5 linked regions of the Nothobranchius furzeri genome follow. The protein of the gene in region 2 binds, or shares a complex with, the protein of the main gene of each other region. Links are inferred from orthologs where the notes say so. Each region holds a gene or a part of one and is shown on either strand. Other genes may lie near its edges. The genes, in order: coro2aa, tbl1x, zyg11, zer1 and hdac3.

Region 1 (3,602 bases), on a different chromosome or scaffold from region 2:
AACTTGAAGCTCGCATGAGAACTTTGTGTAACTTTTCCTAAAGTTTGAGACTTTTAAACGTGTGTGTGTGTGTGGTCATGGACGTAATTTTCACTTTAGAAGTGGGGGGGACCCGGGGGGGGGGGGGGGGGGGGGGGTTGGAGGACAGTTATCTGATGGGAAACAGGCTTCAACACAAACGGTTGTTTTCTGCTTGGTCCTAGAGCTCAATCAGTGTCAATTTAATATAGCGTAATATTGTTTTTGGATGGTTAAAAAGTGCAGGGGTCAAAATTTGACTTTGGAAAAAGTGGGGGGGACATGTCCCCCCTGTCCCCCCAAAATTACGTCCATGTGTGTGGTCCTTACCCAATCCTTTCTGAGGTACATGTGAGCGATACTCCGTTAGAAAGTGGATGTAGGGTTTTTCTGAGCTGATCTCATAATATCTGATGTTTCCATCACCCTGTGAAACAGTGAAACTCTTGTGAAGACAAGATCTGATGCAGTATTTTGGATTATGAATCAGTTTTGGATTTACCTTGCCAGCTAGGTAGAGCATGTGTGTGTCAGGGTCGTAGAAAGGGAAAATGACCCCGGAGGAACCATCCAGGTTCTCCTGCAACAAGGGCCCCGACAGATCGTCCTACAAACACACACGAAGATTACGAAAAATGAAATGCACAACAAACAAGAAAATCCCCCTGATATGAAACTACTGAATCATTTTAATCCACAGCTGTAGAAGAGCTGAATTAAAACTGAGTGCTTCATCTCTAATCCATGTTCTGCTTTAATCCCCCGCCCACGATGCACACCCACCCCTCACAGTGCAGACTCCCGGGTGTGGTCAGAGCGCTGCGTGGGGAAAGGTGCAACTCTGAATTTATTTCATCTTAAACTGTGGCAAGTTCAGGTAAACTGATGAGAGGTTTAGTTATTATCTGTCCACTAGATGGCAGCATTGCACATCACACTGAAGCTACACACCTGGAATGATTTCAGTATCTGGTGAGGGGGCCTAAATCTCATCACCAATGAAACCAGGGTTCAGTAAATTAAAACAAGGAGACAAAACAAGCAAGGATACTTTAAAAATCAAAGTATATTACAGAGAACAGAAAATAAGAATTACAAAGAAAAATAATAATTGAGATCATCCTTCCAATAGCAGCTAGCTTAAGGGCTGCGACTAGACTCATAGAATCTGGGGTTATAATACGTAACCAACGTTCTTTGCACTAAATCTTTTCTCAGTGGTCTAGTGGTAGAGTGTCCGCCCTGAGACTGGGAGATCAGGGGTTCGATTCCTGGTCGGGTCATACCAAAGACTTTGAAAAAATGGGACCCAATGCCTCCCTGCTTGACACTCAGCATTAAGGGGTTGGATTGGGGGGTTAAACCACCAAATGGTTCCCGAGCGCGGCTGTGTCTGCTGCTCACCGCTCCCCCAGGGGATGGGTCAAATGCGGAGAACAAATTTTGCACACACACCTGTGTGTGACAACTAATGGGACTTTAACTTTAAATCCCTCTCACATAAAGCTATTTCAGTTGTTTTATTCTTAGCATTTTCAGTACCTTCCAGAATGAGCCGTTTCAGGGCTCTGTCACTTTAAGAAAACAATCTGGAGCTGGACACGCTCCCCCCTCCCCCACTCAGGCTGCTGAAAGCTGAGAATCTCTGATATCCAGGGGGGCTCTGGGGAGAGCCACTGCTCCTCCGGCCGCAGCTCTCTCTTGCACATGAAAGGCGGTTCTATCCTAATTTGTGATATCACAAATGGGGACTTTTTGAATTGGCTTATTTTAGGCACATAATTCCTAAAACCAAACACTGACAAAGAACGTATGGATGGATTTCTTTCATGTTTAGAGTGGTAATAGAGGCAGTGAAGACCCACATGGCAGCACAAAAGGATGCAAAAGCTGAGTTTTGCATTGTATGTCCCCTTTAAAAACAAATCTTTGTTTTTGGATATCTAGTAGTTAAGAATAAAAGTCTCTTAACAAGTCAAAATAAAACATTTTAAATAAAATCCAGCCTCCCTAAATAATAAATGAGTCCAAACAGAATTATAGCAGAAGAAGCTGATGTCCTCTTTAGGGAACGTGGGGTCCCGTGGAGCTAATGATGAGCAGAATCGAGTCATAATCCACATTTCTTCACAAGAACAGAAGTAAGCCAGTTTTGTCTGAGTTGTCATGATGTATTTAAGAATAATCTACAGAAAATGCCCAAGCTCAGAGCAGCAGAACAGATAAATATTTGTAAACGGGCCCAAGGGCAGCAGGTCTCACCTGATCCCACAGAGCGATCTGTCGATCGTTGTAGCGCGAGGTGCCAGACGTCAAAAGCATCTTCATGTTTCCAAGAATCAGCACCTTACTGGCTTTGTGTGTTTTGCAGTTACCTTCCTGCAAAAAAGGGTTAGAAAAGACAACAAAAAGTGAAGGTCTCCCATCTGAAAGACCTGATGGTTGAAGTAAATATGATGGATTGTTTTGTGAAAACATCTCCACACAACAGGTTTAAAATAAAATAAAAATATCTATTTTTCTGCTGCGGCGTTTTATTGTCTCTGAGCAAAAGTGTTCAACAGAAAGTGACAGCGGACTAAATTAAAAGTGGGTGTGCTTCAGTGGCTGCTGACCCAGAGGTCTGAGCAGCCCGCTGTGATCCAGGCCAGGACTAAGGTGTCAGTTTTGGCTGTGTGGTGCTGGATGAGTGCCGCGGTGCTGCAGCCATGGAGACTCCAGCTAACACCCGGCTGTGAGGCTCCTACAACACCGGACCAAAAACTCTAAAGTTCAATAAGTTCATTTAGCAAAACTAAAGTCCATGATTAGCTCACTAGATTTATCTCTGTTTGGATTTCCTTTAGCAAACAAAAACAATTTGTTTCAATCTTCAGCTGGATGAAAAACAAGCTACTTCCTGATACGCTTGTGCTGATCTCCTGAGCTGAACTCAAAGGTGGAAGCAACCTAAGATCAATGACTGCACGCATTAATGTGTAGCATACCTGCAGCAAGTTCCCCGAGCGAGGCTCCATCAGCCGGACCTTCCTGTCCCTGCAGGTGGTGGCGAAGAGGCTGCCATCTGTGTTGAAGGACATGGACAGAACCACATCGGTGTGGTGGCTGATGGTCCGGACCGGGTTCTTCATCACCTGCTCTGGAGAGTCCAGGTTCCAGATCATCACCTGGAGGGACACACACACACGCACGCACGCACGCACACGCACACACACACACACACACACACACACACACACACACACAAGTTTGAACCAGACTTTTAAAACGTGGAAGGTTACGACCTAGATTATATCTCTTAATGGTCCGTTTTTATTACCAATGCTAGGAAGATGATCAGCCATAATGTCATTCTGGTCAATAAGCTAACGCCTGAAGCTGGATCTAGAGGCGTGCTGTAATGGTCACAACAATAGCACATTCTGTTTATATCTCAAAGGAATTCACGCCGTTTAACACAGCTGTGTGTGTGAAAGCACACCGGAGCTGTTTGAGAGTCTCTTCATTTTGTGATTTAAGAAAGAAGCTGGAAGCAAATCTAGATTGGGCCGCAGGTGTGCAGGTGGGGTTTGTGTCACCTTGTA
Region 2 (4,054 bases):
AATATAAGCAATGCATAACTGTGGCCTTCAACCAGCCACTACTTGTATGGGCGTAATTTCAGAGTAACCACTCATGTGCCAGTTGGCTGGTTGCCCATGAACACTGCACACCTCTTTGAGGGGGGTGGAGAAAGGCTCACCTCCCCCCAACGGCCTATCATAAATAAATACTGCTACAGAAATATTTGGATGGCTCAGAACAGAGCATTGTTGCACCACAAGACTGACAAAGGCTTTCTTGGGGACTTCTTTGCCCTACTTTTCCGCAGAAGTTGGCTTTCTGCTTTTAACACAAACTCCCATACAGCTCAGTTCTGCTTCCTTGCAATCAATAGATTTTAATGGCTTTTTTTTAAAACTGTGTAAGGCTGGACAATGTTTTTATATTAAACTGTACACCACAGAAAACAACAACCCCCCAACTAAATTGGCCTTTTGTCTTCAGTAGAAAAAGGTACTATATGCACAAGAGCTGTGTCAAATGACTGCAGTAGTGAAGACATTTATCAGCTCCAGCTCCATCTGACAGCGATTGAAACACGACACCCAGACAGACATCTGGGTCATCTCAACCACAAATTTCATCTGCTCTCATTCAAGCAGGCTAGGAACATAATTCAGACCCACTGAGCATAAAGAAACTAACATAAGATGGGTGTACACTGTGCAATTTCAAGCCTTCCTAAACAAAAAGGTCACCAACAGGAATGAATCATGGCGATACAATTTGGTTGTCCTTTAGGAATGGTAGTGCTCAGCGTACAGTTAACACAATTCAAGAAAACTAAAAGATGTCCAAAATGGAGCATGACCAACGCAATTAGTTAGACCCCACTTTTGAAAACTAACCAATGGAAACATGAAATTCTCCACACAACACTGGTACAAAAGAAGGAACTGCTGTAATATGTAAATAAGCAGCATGATGCTGATTGCTTGAGTGTTTACAGAAACAATAAAGGTTACTAGCCAAAGGTAATAAAGATAAGTTAGGCAAAATGCCTCACAAATGCCCCTGGCTACTCCCGATTGTAAGAACAAAGAGGATGGTGTAACATTTTAAAGGGATAGTTTACATCTTTCAAACTGAGGTGATGTACAAATGTTATGAACAGTCAATATCTTACCTGCGCAAGATAATTCTAACCAACCTGAGAATGAGTTGAATTCACCTCTAATAAGTTTTTTTAAGTGGTTGATACAAACTTTTCTAAACCTTTACATCACCATCAATGTTGCATCACATGATCATTCTGGCATAAATATGAATATCATGCATCAAACAGGAAGTGCTACAAATAGTTAATTCCACTACTACTTTCAGGTGCATATAAGTAGAATTTTAATTAGCAATGGAAGTAATTCGTTATCAGCCCAAAAACACTATCGGTTTATATCGGACTGCACCAAAAATCTCCGATATAAGCAGTCCGTTAAGGTTCACATTTTTGCAACCAACAGTTTTCATACTCTTGTTCTCCGATTGAGTAATATCACATGATTAAGCCTTTCATATATTCCACACCATGAAATAGGTAAAAGATAAGTATGATTGGTGCTGATATCGGATCGGATTGATATCGGCATTGGTCAATACTGAAGGCTGCAATATCGGTATTGTATCGGAGGTAAAAAAGTTGTATCGGGACATCCCTAGTTTTAATTACTAGTGGTTTGTTAAATCGTATGTATGGGAAACCAACGGGTCTCCTTACTAAAGATGGACAGCTGATTGGTCACTTGGGTCAGGTTTTGACTGCATAAAAATGTAAAATGAAAAGGTGCAATACAATATTGCACATATATTGCACACAACTATTGAGAAAAGGCTGAACATAGTCAAGTGAAAAAAAATACATTAGACATTGATCATTATTGGGGAGGACCCCCCCTCCACTGCCATAAGGCAGTTTGGATCTCCCCCCCCCCCCCCCCCCAGTCAAGCCATTTGTTTCCCCCCACTTTTGAAATCAACAACACATCCTTGTGTATGACTAAATAAGCAGTTATATTTTGGATTACTGGGATAGTGCGGTTAAAACAAACAACACACTGTGCTAATGCCTCAATTAGCAAACTGAGAATTTAAGGCCATGTTGGACCTGATTTTAAAGGTGTAAGTCCATTCCTCCATTACTTTATTAATGTATACGCTTTTATATCACGCCAGGTTTGTTATAAACTCGTGTCTGGGCCAAACTGTTACAGCAGCTTGACAGGTACAGCTCAACATTGTAGTTATACAGTAACACAAGTCGTTCCCTTCCCCCACACACACATGCGCTTCCTAACTCAACATGACCATTTTAAATGCTTTCATTCAAATAGAAGCCTAAAACAACAACATATGCAACTGCATGTGCTGGTTGATGACATTATTACAAATGTGGACAAAATAGATGAAACTACTACTTGGAAAAGAGGGACAACATATCAAAAGTGTATTTCGTCAAGCACTCCAAAGACTCATTGCATAATTTGAGCATTTAAAAAAAGTGGCAGAAAAAGTTGGGCTTTGCAACAATGTAGGAGAAAATTAAAAGACGCAATTAGGAATTGGAACACACGTGTGGAGTCAGCGCGAGCCGGTTACGCCATAATCCATCTATTTCTGAAAGTCGTTATCTGCTTCGAATAAAGCCCAAACTGGGAGAACGGAACAGTCCGGGTACAGTGCATCGCCGCGCCTCGAGCCTCCGGGCTTACCGTTTCTTACTGTGAGAGTGAACTCGTGGTGTCCGCCGCCACCTCTTCCTCTTCCACAAGGAGAACCTCCAACTTCAGTAAGCGAGAAAACACTTTCCTCCCATCTTGCTTATCGTCATATTTCAAGTTCCGACCGCGCAGTATGACTCACTGTCGGCTTATTTTTGCTGTGCCACCAGAGCGTGTTCGCCCCAGACACCGTCACAACTGGCGGACACGAGAGGAGGAATAAAAAAAAAAGTTGGAACCAGCCCGAGTTTCTGTGGCTGTGGGGCGCAGGCTGTTCCGTGGAGTTTCACCGTTCACTGAGAACCGGGAGCGGAGAGAGACACTCAGCAGCGCGAGACTCGCACGAGAGGGGGGGAGGTGGGGTGAAGGCTGCTTGACCTTAAACCTGGATACTCTACACGGAATTTTCTTTAATTACTGACTTAATTAGCTAAACTGGGCCACCACACGCCATGATATAATAACGTGTTTCTTTAATCATTCGTTTTGTAAAGCAAACACGCAACTATAGCATTTTTTATCACTCAGTTCTATAATTAGGGTTTATATTTAACCAGTAAACTACATTTCCTATTGCTTATGGTATCAAGTTGCTACATATTATTGTATTGCTTTCGTGTGTTGTTTTGTAGTTTAAGCACACTGCTGAGTACACTCCAGCATGCTGGCCTGCTTTAAGCCACTTCCCTTCCCCCACAACGCTATTTTTCGCCTGCCTGGTCACACAGTGGTTGATTAATTCTCCTTTCGCCTTGCTCAGTCATTCAGATTTGGAAAGTAAATAACAAGTTGACATCAGTGTGACACATTCCTTTGGTTACCGTACACACTGTAGAATCTGCGCAATACTTATTTTGCAAACAATGACAGCATTTTGATTTGGTACAGTGTGTAATCATGGGCAGATTACTGAGTGGGCTCACCATGCAAACTATTTGGAGGCCGATGCACAATGAAAACGCCATGAAATGGTCGCAAAGATCCTAAATTAGTCCAATAAACAACACAAAAATAGATAAATGGGAACACGTCGTTTTGCCAAGCTAGAAACTGATTAACACAAAAACAAAACAGGCCCTCAAATGGCCTCCTTTTGTTTTGCAGTGAATTTTACAGTCTAGAGCAATAAATAAATAATTTACAAAGCTTTCATTCTCTTTAGTTGTAACCACATTGAGCTCTTTCAGATCTTTTTCCATGCTTCTCCACGCTGCAGCAGCATACTGTTGCAACAGCTAAATCCAAACTCAAGACCTCAAAACAGCAGTGCACAAATCAATGGGTAATTTCATGGTGGCTGCATCCATTAGTCTTTGATCATAGCCAATTTAGAGAATGA
Region 3 (3,339 bases), on a different chromosome or scaffold from region 2:
AACCCAAACTAAATTATGTACATTCAGATTTCCCATTCTCTGCTTAGCTGGTTTATCCGTAGATAAATCTGATCAGAGAAATTCACATAAACGTAAATAAACTGTGCTCTGGGGTTTGTTAAACTCGACTGTAGTTGTATCATTTTATTTGTAATATTTAACACCTCTGGTGACCCTTTTTTTTCAATGATGTTAAAGATTTTGTCTAATTAAGGAACATTTTAAGAAGTGGCACCGTTGACCCATAAACAAGCCAGCAGGCACCTTCTAAACCAACAGTACAAAGATTCAGACCAGCATGCTTGAGCTCACAGCAGAGTCATGCATAGATTTGAAAAGTAACCAAACAATTCAGACAATACATTTGGGAGTACCTCTAGTGCAGCGGGGAGTTGACCCTCTGCTCAGATCTCAGAGCATTTTCATCTTTTTGGTAAAAAAATAAAACCATCATGCTGCTAAAGTCATCCTAACAAACGCGAGCACAAACACAAACTCCAAGCTGAGCGGAACGGACCGACAGCTTATAAATGTTTCATCACAGGATTTGCACACAGAAATGTTTTGTTGCTTTGACAAAAAGAAATAAATAGGTTCAGCATGTGCAAAGTATTGCAATGTCTCTGTCTTTTACCCTCTTGAGATTTTAGGAATTCATGCACACTTGTGTGCAGGATGTGCATCACAGCTGCACACGCACGTGCAACTCTCCACTCTGTTGTGGGATCAAGTCCTCTTCTTCTTAGTCGGGAGCATAGTCACCTAAAAGAGGCATAAAAGAATGGAGGACATCAGACCACTGAGAGTGCACCGGCTCAACATGCGCTTTCCTTTACCTTGGACGTGTTACTGAGAGGGGGGGTGTCTGCTTGTGCACGCCGGCTGGCCGGTGCGGGCTCTGTGGCGCTGCAGGCTCTCCAGAATGCTTTCAGCCAGAAGCCTGACGTCTCTGTGGGTCTGTGGGTGTGCATTAACGTGCTCAAGCTGCTGCAGGCCGCCCTCCTCCAACAACATGCTGCAGTAACGAGAAGCTGCAGCGCAGTTTGGGTCAATTAGCATCTGTAAAGCGGAAGACTCAGGGGAAGTTTAGTTTAGTTTTAAAGGTGTGTGTGTGTGTGTGTGTCTTACCATTTTTGCTGCACACATGTTGCATGGCCCAGGCTGCCCATAATTGGACACCCGGTGTGTGAAAACACTCCAGGAGTGGAAAGAAAGGGTTAAAAGACCTAAAAAATGAATAGAATGAGGAAATGGATTCATTTCTGTTACCTTGCCACTTTGACACAAAGCTACAAGGTTTTGCTTAAACTTTTGTGTTTTATCATTTGGCTTGTGATCTTAATTTGTATTAAATTATCTTTTTATTTTTTATTTTTGTCTTTTAATCATGTTTTAATTGTGATGTGATTTTCTCTGATCCTTTTCCGTGACAGGTACTATGTAAATAAATTTTACTTACCTTTACTCACCTAAAAATACATCAATCAGAATCACCCTAAATCAAGGTTTGACCCTTTTCCATAGCAGAACATCGTTGTTCATATTAGATGGTTGGCATTAACACGTTTCCTAATTTTTCACAGTTTAGGACTTATTAGGTATTAATGAGAAAAAGGAAAATTATTCACATCTGTAAAATTCACACACACACACACACACACACACACCTAGTTAATCCTGTGTCTCGATGAAGTGCAACTGCTGGAGATAAATTGCAAACAACATTGACGAGAAGTTTCCACAGGGTCTGAAAATGTTCATTATGTGAGTTGCTGCTAAGCCTCAATCCCATGTTGCTCGAACTTGAAAGACGTTCAAAAGCTTCTCTCTTACTGACACGGGCAGCTGAAAACTACCTCAAACCACTTTTAGGTTGGCATCGATGAGAAGTGTGAGACTTGGTGACTAAACTGCAACTGGAACATTTCCAAAACAGTTTTCATTCTTTTCATGTTTATGTTTATTTATTTGGCAGATGCTTTTATCCAAAGCGACTTACAATTTATAACCTATAGGGCATGTTGTGATCTGTGGGGGAAACCGGAGTACCCGGAGGAAACCCACACATGCATGGGGGAGAACACGCAACTTCATGCAGAAAGGCCGCAGCAGAGTTTCGAACCTGCAACCTTCGTGCTGCGAGGCAACAGTGCTAACCACTGCGCCACCATGCACTCAGCCATGTGTAAAACATCATGCGTGTCATTGCAGTGGGGTTCGAGCTGAAAATGTGTAGATTTTCTGTCAAATTTGCGCCTCCAATGTTTGACAGTCTTGTAAGATATTGGCCTAATTAATCAGTTTAAAATGATATTCTAAGACTTCCATCTTCCAGTGAAGGTGTACCAACAACACATTTTTGTACAAGTTTAAGGTATTTATACTCTTTTAGGTGTCTGGTTCTTCAATTCCCACCTCTGACAGAACTTCCAAAATGTTCTGGGGGAGGCGGGGGACATTGAGTCTGAATGGACCCTGTTCCATGTCTCCATTGTTGAGGCGGCCGACCGGAGCTCTGGTCGCAGGATCGTCGGTGCCTGTCGTGGTGGCAACCCCCGAACCCGCTGGTGGACACCGGCGGTTAGGGATGCTGTCAAGCTGAAGAAAGAGTTCTATCAGGTCTTTTTGGCCTGTGGGACTCCAGAGGCAGATGACGGGTACCGGCAGTCCAAGCGGAACGCGGCTCGGGTGGTCGCCAAGGCAAAAACCGGATATGGGAGGAGTTCGGTGAGACCATGGAGCAAGACTTCCGTACGGCTATGAGGAGATTCTGGTCCACCATCCGGCGCCTTGGGGGGGAAAGCGGTGCGCTACCAACACTATCTATAGTGGGGACGGTGTGCTGCTGACCTCTACTCAGGATGTTGTGGATCGGTGGACAGAATACTTTGAAGACCTCCTCAATCCCACACGTCTTCCAGTGAGGAAGCAGAGTCTGGGGACTTTAGGTTAAGCTCTCAAATCTCTGGTGCGGAGGTCACTGAGGTGGTTAAAAAGCTCCTCTGTGGCAAGGCTCCAGGGGAGGATGAGATCCGCCCAGAGTTCCTTAAGGCTCTGGATGTTGTGGGGCTGTGTTGGCTGATGCGGCTCTGCAATACCACGTGGACATCGGGAGCAGTCCCACTGGACTGGCAGACCGGGGTGGTGGTCCCCTTATTTAAAAAGGGGGACCGCAGGGTGTGTTCCACCTACAGGGGGATCCCACTCCTGAGCCTTCCTGGTAAGATCTATTCAGGGGTTCTGGAGAGGAGGGTCCGTCGGATTGTTGAACCTCAGATTCAGGAGGAGCAATGTGGTTTTCGTCCTGGCTGTGGAACACTGGACCAGCTCTATACCCTT
Region 4 (4,114 bases), on a different chromosome or scaffold from region 2:
ACGTTCAGTGGTTGCTGAAACAGTTCGGCAGGCTCCATCTCTGGCAGTTTTTAAATCTCGTTTAAAGACCCACTTTTACACTTTGGCTTTTAGACAGTGACTCGTTTTAGTGTTTTATTGTATCATTGTTTTAATTGTGTTCTTAGTATTCATCATGGTTTATCTGCCTTTGATTGAGATTTTTATCCTCTGTTTTAGCTCCTTGTAATGATTGTGTTTTGTTTTAGCCTGTGCAGCACTTTGGGCAGCTCCCATGCTGCATTTTAAACGTGCTATATAAATAAACTATGCTATGCTATGCTAAACAGACCCACTGCGATCTGCATATAAACCATACCTGCAGCACCGGGCGCTGACTCACCTCGAGATGTGAAAGAACACTGTGAGAATCGTGTTCTTCTGCTTCTCAAGTGCCTTCAGCACCATCCAGCCGTGTCTACTGCAGCAGAAGATGAGGGGTGCAGGAGTGGAAGAACATCTGACTGCATGGACCATCAACTACCTCACCAACAGGCCACAGTACGCGAGGCTGCACAACTGTGCGTCTGAGGTGGTTGTGTGCAGTTCTGGAGCTCCACAGGGTACGATGCTCTCTCCCTTTCTCTTCACCTTCTACACTTCAGACCTCACCTACAACACCAGCAGCTGTCACCTCCAGAAGTTCTCTGATGACTCGGCCATTGTCGGCTGTGTGTCTGAGGGGAATGACCTGGAGTACAGGTCAGTCATCATGGACTTGGTGAACTGGTGTGAGGGTAACCACCTTCGCTTAAACACCAGTGAGACAAAGGAAATGACTGACTTCCAGAGAAGCACTCCTCCTCACTCACCAGTAAACATCCAGGGAGCAGACATGGAGATGGTGGATACCTTTAAGTACCCAGTGTTCACCTCACCAGCACCTCCTGAGGAGGCTGAGGTCCCTATCTATCTATCTATCTATCTATCTATCTATCTATCTATCTATCTATCTATCTATCTATCTATCTATCTATCTATCTATCTATCTATCTATCTATCTATCTATCTATCTATCTATCTATCTATCATATATCTATCTATCTATCTATCTATCTATCTATCTATCTATCTATCTATCTATCTATCTATCTATCTATCTATCTATCTATCTATCTATCTATCTATCTATCTATCTATCTATCTATCTATCTACCTTCTCTTTTATGTGCTGATAAAACTCGAGGCTGATTATTAAACCTTAAAACGCGTTCAGGTGTTCTCAGGTGTTTCCTTTGCGGTCTCACAGGTGAGCCGAGCTGGGCCGGAGCGCAGCGGTGCTGACAGCAGCAGGAAGTGGCAGCAGACGGAGAGGAGGTGGGAAGAGCAGAGGAAGGAGCAGCAGGAGAAGTAGAAGTGAGAGGAGGAGTCTGTTTGTTGACATCGGGACGAATCCGAAATCAGATGAGTGAGGACAGCCGATAACGCCTGGTTTTGTCCCCCTCAACGAGACACCTCCTCGGGGACAGCTCAGGTAAGGTTCCGTCTGAAGAACCGGGCGGGCTGACGCCGCTGACCCGGTACCAGCCACCGGGAGCCGGTGTTGTGGTACCGCTCAGCTCTCCGGTTCTGTTAGCCTTCTTGCTAGTATCACAGCGGGGAAAGTCACAGCTAGCATCAGGCTAGTTTGGACCTTAAAACGAACCGGTACCGGTTAATAAGGCCGAACTTTTAATAAGAAGTAGTTTCGCTGAGCGTGTGGACCGGAACTTATGGTTCGGTGTGATATTTCCAGTTTGTCAGCAGATTTAAAACCTTCACGGCGAATTCTTCCAAACAAGCAGCTAGCTGTAGCTCGTTAGCCCGCTAACTTGTCAACGGTCCGTCTCTTTCTGGGTCCACCTGTGTTCACACACAAAGACAGAACCGAACCGGGCCACCGGACCCAGGCTGCAGGTAACAGGTGAGAAGTGGTTGGGTTGGCTGCAGTGGTTGTAAAGTTTATCACTAATTATCCATCTGTTCTTGTTTCCCATCAAACTCGGTCATGTCACCTTCCCAGAGTGTTGCACTCGGTGTGTTTGATCTTAAGTCAACGTTAATAATTTAAGATATTATCAGTTTATTAAGTAAATAAGGTGATTATTGCAAGTGCACCTCTTCAGATTTACTGGGCCGATACCGATTTCTCATTGCTCTCCATCTGCCTGCAGATGTAGAATTATCTCTGACAACTAAAACCACGTAATCAGGTTAAAAGTCTCACTGGTTTAAATTCTGAAAGTGGAAATAAAAACATCTGTTATAGCTCATCGCACACATGGAGAGGAGCCAGTTGAGGTGGCTCGAGCACCTGATTAGGATGCCTCCTAGACGCCTCCCTGGTGAGGTTTTTAGAGTACGTCCAACCAGGAGGAGACACAAGGGAAGACCCAGGGCACGCTGGAGGGACTATGTCTCTCACCTGGCCAGGGAACGCCTTGGGACTCCCCCGGAGGAGCTGGCCCAAGTGGCTGGGGAGAGGGAAGTCTGGGCCTCCTTGCTTAGGCTGCTGGTCCCAGATCAGCGGCAGGAGACAAACTGGTGCCTAGCAATGAGAGTTCATGGACCCCATAACTGTGGTGCGTTCACTGACCTGTAAAAATCCCATCAGGTTTATTGGACTGGTTCTGATCAGCTGATGCTTTAGCTTGTCTCTAGCTCAAGTTAAATGCTTTAAAAACGGATCCAGTCCAGGCTTCTGGCCTAGATCATGTGTTCTGGGACAGGTTGGGTTGTGCTCCAGTCTCTGGACACATCAGAGGAATGTTTGTTATTCTAAACAACAACAACAACAATAAACATGTTCATGAAACTGCTGCTGTTGAGGGTTAGGGTTAGAAAATGATGATTTCTAGTTTCGGCGATTGGGTGTTCTTTCAGGTCCCCCTCCCCCGCTCCGTCCATCTTTAACCTGAGACCGGGATAAAGGGGCCAACATGGCCGCTAAAGCTGGAGACGACCCGGACAGCCTCATGGCTCTGGCGACGGTGTTCTGCCTCAGGAACCTGAGGAAGACCATGTGTTACCAAGGACTCAGGAACCGGCTGCTCTTGCGCTCCGACATCTTCCTGCCGAGTGAAATCTGTGACAAGCTGGTCAACACGTATGTAACAGATCACCCCCCCCCCCCCCCCCACACACACACACACCTGTAACCCACACCTCACACACTCGCCTGTCTTTTCTCCGTCTTCACCAGGTACGTGGAGCTGGTCCACACCGACAGTTACTTTGAACCAGAGGAGAGTTTCTTCCAGCTGTTCGCGGACCCTCGGAGCACTAGGCTGACCCGGGTTCAGCTGAGGGAGAACTTGGTTCTGGACCGAGACCTGGAGGCCATACGGAAACAGGTGGGGGTGTGATGTTGTGGCCTTTCTAGAGACAGAACCAAACGAGCAGAATAGTTTTCTGTTTGTTCTTTGAGATAAACCGGCGTCACATGATGCTGGGGCGGGGCTTATGTGTAGTTTTGGGGCCACATCCTGATGGACCGGTGAGGGGAACCTTCCCTTGGTTCAGAGATAAACGGGCTCTGTTCTTCCAGGACCTGATTGAACTCAGCCTCACCTGCTGCCACAGCCTGACGCCCCGCAGCCTGAAGACACTCACCTGTTTCCGGGAGACGTTGGTGTCTCTCTGCCTGTTCGGCTGCAGCCAGATCTTCTGTAAGAAAGTGGGACCTCCTCTGGCCTGTAACGAAGACAGCGAGGAAGAGGAGGAGGAGGACAGGTCTGCCTCCTGGCGGGTGTTAGATTTGGACTTTAGCTTCCAGGGCTTTAACCGCCTCAGGCTGCTGAACCTGGCGGGTCTACCTGAAGCAGTGAACGCTGAGCGTCTGCTCAAACCCCTCAGGTCCATCACCTCTCTGGATCTGTCCAACGTGAACTTACAGGGAGCGGCTTTCCTCTCCCAGTGGAGGGACAGGCTGGCATCTCTGGTTCTGTACAACGTGGAGCTGTCCGAGGAGCTGCTCTGCACCATACTGGAGCTGGTTAATCTCAGGTAAGGTGGGGTGGGCGGAGACTAATCTTCGTAGAGGGCATTCCTTGTTTTTCAAGCCATACTTCAGTTTTTTCCTAAAAATCCAGGAGCTTCTACGACACCGGGGTCTCAC
Region 5 (3,602 bases), on a different chromosome or scaffold from region 2:
GCCGCTCCCCTCAGGCAGGAGGTTACGGTCCATCCGGACCAGAACCTCCTGCCATAAGAACAGCTTCTTTCCGTCTGCCGTTAGACTTGTGAATAGATTATAAATACACAGCCATGCTGGTCTTCTGCACTTGACACAACATCACGTTATCAGCCATGTTAACACTACCTGCCATTTTTTATAGCTGAAAGTTTCCTTCTATTTTTATTCTATTTTATTCTATTTTTAATCTTATTATTATTCATGTTATATGTAGCACATTAGTACCAAAGCAAGTTCCTAGTTTCTGAATTGTTTGTTCACTGACAATGGCAATAAACCTATTCTGATTCTGATTCTGACTCTGATTTACCGGTCGATCTATGTTCCTACCCTCACCTATGGTCATGAGCTTTGGGTATTGACCGAAAGAACAAGATCGCAGATACAAGCGGCAGAAATGAGTTTTTTCTGAAGAGTGGCTGGGCTCTCCCTTAGAGATAGGGTGAGTAGCTCGGCCATTCGGGAGGGGCTCAGAGTAGACTCGCTGCTCCTCCACATCGAGAGGCGCCAGTTGAGGTGGCTCGGGCATCTGGTCAGGATGCCTCCTGGACGCCTCCCTGGTGAGGTTTTCCAGGCACGTCCAACCTGGAGGAGACCTAAAGGTAGACCCAGGACACACTGGAGGGACTATGTCTCTCACCTGGCCAGGGAACGCCTTGGGATTCCCCCGGAGGAGCTGGCCCAAGTGGCTGGGGAGAGGGAAGTCTGGGCCTCTCACCTTAGGCTAGTGCCCCCGCGACTCGACTCCGGATAAGCGGATGAAAATGGATGGATGGTGTTCAAGTTATTTTTGTAAACATTGTAGAGTTTAGGGAATTGAGTGCTTAAGAGCTCAATATATATATTACCTCTACTTGTGACCAATAAGCTGTGATACTCTATCTAAATATAGAATATCAACCCTGCTTGGTCTTTGTGTGTTTATCAGGATTTATCTAGGATTCTTTATTTATTAAGGGATTGTACACACTTTGTTTTGATTCAGCAAAGAGTCAGGTTTATAAAAGTAAGAATTTATTTTACAAACAATTAAACATGACAAGTTAACTAACATTTGCTGTGAGTGGATGGAACTAGATGTGATGTATGAAACCTATGGGTGAATGTGGTGTTATCAGAACTTCTGGATCTAGGAAAGCTGAGTTCTGGATGTAAAAGAATTTGGGTTGCACTAAGCTATGTAGTTGATCATTATCAAAAAGCACATTAGATGCTATCTGTGTGTCTACTTCACCAATTCTGGAGACCCTCTTGGTGGGTCCGAAAATCAGAGAGGTCGGTTGACCTCTGGCGCCGAAGGGCTGTAGAATACCGTGGCACCGACTCTTCAGTCCAGAGTTGTCTCGGGTCATGACAGATGGATGGAACCGCGTGTCTGGGACTCTTAACCAGTGTTAATTTTGACAGGAAATTTTAATTTTATTTTAGTCTTAGTCGTTATAAAACGAACCGGTAAAACATCTGTGCGGGCTCGGGACTCGGATCATATCAGTGCAAACCAGACATTGTGAAAATTATAAACAACCAACAGCATGCTTCACTCTACTGGTCTAGTCCTGGTTTAGAGCGCACGTGTAGCGAGCGGCTGCGACCCAAAAAGTACCAGAACCGCTCACGGTGCATGCGCAATCATGCATCAACACTGCTCGCCCGCTATTTCCCTAATAACACACGTTATAGTCGTGAAAATACAGTACTTCCGAATTTTTATCCCAACATGACAGAGTTGGTACAGTTTTATTTGCCTGTATGTTACTTTTCGGGTCGTCACGTGTACAACATTTAAGTGGATTTACCTCGGAGAAAATGGCGAAGTGGCCATTCTGTAGATGCCTCTTCAGATTTGTTGTGTTCTTTCCTCGGAACGACAGTCCACACTCTCGGCATGTAGTTTTGGTAGCAATGTTATCATAAGAAAATTGACTCCACACATCTTCTCTTCTTTTTCGCCCAGCAGTTAACATTTTCCTCTACTCCTTCTTATGTCGTTGTTTTGTTATGTTGTTATGTTACGTTATGTTTTAAAGATGTACATTTAAAAAAAATACTACTGTTTTCACAGCAAAATTATTTTATCTGTACAGTTCTGTTTTGCACAAAGTAGATAGTAAAACTGAATGAAAGCATAAACATATTGTTTTATTCTTTATTTTTATTATAATTACTAAAGCACTATAATTAAAATAGTATGGAAATATTCTAGATCAGCATCATGAAGCAAATGTGTGGCCAAATTATATACAGTTAGTTTTCTGGAAAAGGAATGAAATGTCCCAGTGTGTGTATGCATGAGTTTTATATGCATGAAAAAATATTTGTAAATTAATTATGATTTATCATTGTACAGACATGCCTCGTAAGGAGAGGAGGCGGAAGCAGCGACAGAATGAGCTACTTGAGGCAGCTAAAGGCAGTGGGTCCCTCACCAGCTGGATAAAAAAAGAATACAGGTAAGTTGCATCACAGCAACAAGTGTAGAAACAATAATATACACAACTGCAATGTTTTGATGCCAGAAAATGTTTTTGTTAGCCTCTTGATCATGGATTAGGTGCAAGACCTGTTAAATGTGAATAACTACATACCGTAAATCCTCTAATACAGGCCCGGGCCTGTATTTGACTCAAGCTCATCAAGCTCCAGGCCTTTATTGGAAAGAGGGCCAGAATTAGAGGCAGGCCTCTATTTCTATTTGAGCAAAATGAACTAATGGTTCGCTGGAGTTTTTGACAATTAAAATTGTGCCCACATTTTCAAAGTTAAACACATTTCTTTTAACAACGGTAGTTTCTGCTTCAGCCCTCTCCCCCCTGCCCCTGCTTCAGCCCTCTCCCCCCTCCCCCTGCTTCAGCCCTCTCCCCCCTCCCCCTGCTTCAGCCATCTCCCCCCTCCCCCTGCTTCAGCCATCTCCCCCCTCCCCCTGCTTCAGCCCTCTCCCCCCTCCCCCTGCTTCAGCCCTCTCCCCCCTCCCCCTGCTTCAGCCATCTCCCCCCTCCCCCTGCTTCAGCCATCTCCCCCCTCCCCCTGCGCAGCGGCCGCAAACTCACTGATGCGCCTGCAGCCTCTCAGAGTTCCTGCTGCTCTAAACATTAAAATAATTATTTCATTTTCTGTTCCTCACTTCTGATTACCTTCAGTGGTGTCTGTTTGTTGCAACCAGCAGGTACAAACACTAACTTGTTTTTATTTGACTATTTTTCTGTCCTGCCTGTTTATTATCTTCCTGCATCTCCTCTCAATCCTAAAGAAAAACTGCTACCTGGGTTCATATATATTCACCTTATGAGTTACCTTTGAACTGCAGTTCTAAAAGATCTACCGACCGCAAAAACAGCGGAGTGCTCGCTGCTTGGTGGCAGCGTGATCGGTGCTTCACCGGATGACAAGGTGATGCGCCCCGCTCCACAGCGAAACGCATCAGGCGCAAATAAAAGACAGAAAACATTAAAGGAAATAAACCGACATGAACAATCGCGTGTTAAATTAGTTTTTGAGGTGGCGACACCTGATTTGATAATGTTACTGTTGCCTTGCGCAGGAGGCAGATCTACCGACCGCAA

What was found.
Region 1: tbl1x (region 2) and coro2aa share a complex: the UniProt entries of both Homo sapiens proteins name them as parts of the N-Cor repressor complex. The link is inferred for Nothobranchius furzeri from reciprocal best matches to the Homo sapiens genes TBL1X and CORO2A.
Region 3: tbl1x (region 2) and zyg11 share a complex: the UniProt entries of both Homo sapiens proteins name them as parts of the E3 ubiquitin ligase complex. The link is inferred for Nothobranchius furzeri from reciprocal best matches to the Homo sapiens genes TBL1X and ZYG11B.
Region 4: tbl1x (region 2) and zer1 share a complex: the UniProt entries of both Homo sapiens proteins name them as parts of the E3 ubiquitin ligase complex. The link is inferred for Nothobranchius furzeri from reciprocal best matches to the Homo sapiens genes TBL1X and ZER1.
Region 5: tbl1x (region 2) and hdac3 share a complex: the UniProt entries of both Homo sapiens proteins name them as parts of the N-Cor repressor complex. The link is inferred for Nothobranchius furzeri from reciprocal best matches to the Homo sapiens genes TBL1X and HDAC3.

Annotation. Positions count from the first base shown.
Region 1 is NC_091744.1:13,219,326-13,222,927, reverse strand, and holds part of coro2aa (coronin-2A), read right to left. Parts: coding exon 3,597-3,602; intron 3,186-3,596; coding exon 3,006-3,185; intron 2,398-3,005; coding exon 2,281-2,397; intron 626-2,280; coding exon 521-625; intron 446-520; coding exon 349-445; intron 1-348.
Region 2 is NC_091754.1:23,373,023-23,377,076, forward strand, and holds the start of tbl1x (F-box-like/WD repeat-containing protein TBL1X), read right to left. Parts: upstream 2,848-4,054; 5' UTR 2,707-2,847; intron 1-2,706. UniProt on the Homo sapiens protein: F-box-like protein involved in the recruitment of the ubiquitin/19S proteasome complex to nuclear receptor-regulated transcription units. Plays an essential role in transcription activation mediated by nuclear receptors.
Region 3 is NC_091748.1:47,405,787-47,409,125, reverse strand, and holds the end of zyg11 (protein zyg-11 homolog), read right to left. Parts: intron 1,227-3,339; coding exon 1,129-1,226; intron 1,032-1,128; coding exon 847-1,031; 3' UTR 837-846; intron 763-836; 3' UTR 546-762; downstream 1-545. UniProt on the Homo sapiens protein: Serves as substrate adapter subunit in the E3 ubiquitin ligase complex ZYG11B-CUL2-Elongin BC. Acts to target substrates bearing N-terminal degrons for proteasomal degradation with the first four residues of substrates being the key recognition elements.
Region 4 is NC_091746.1:70,679,335-70,683,448, forward strand, and holds the start of zer1 (protein zer-1 homolog), read left to right. Parts: upstream 1-1,296; 5' UTR 1,297-1,492; intron 1,493-2,880; 5' UTR 2,881-2,936; coding exon 2,937-3,103; intron 3,104-3,199; coding exon 3,200-3,350; intron 3,351-3,544; coding exon 3,545-4,002; intron 4,003-4,114. UniProt on the Homo sapiens protein: Serves as substrate adapter subunit in the E3 ubiquitin ligase complex ZYG11B-CUL2-Elongin BC. Acts to target substrates bearing N-terminal degrons for proteasomal degradation with the first four residues of substrates being the key recognition elements.
Region 5 is NC_091741.1:31,111,250-31,114,851, forward strand, and holds part of hdac3 (histone deacetylase 3), read left to right. Parts: intron 1-2,389; 5' UTR 2,390-2,391; coding exon 2,392-2,492; intron 2,493-3,602. UniProt on the Homo sapiens protein: Histone deacetylase that catalyzes the deacetylation of lysine residues on the N-terminal part of the core histones (H2A, H2B, H3 and H4), and some other non-histone substrates.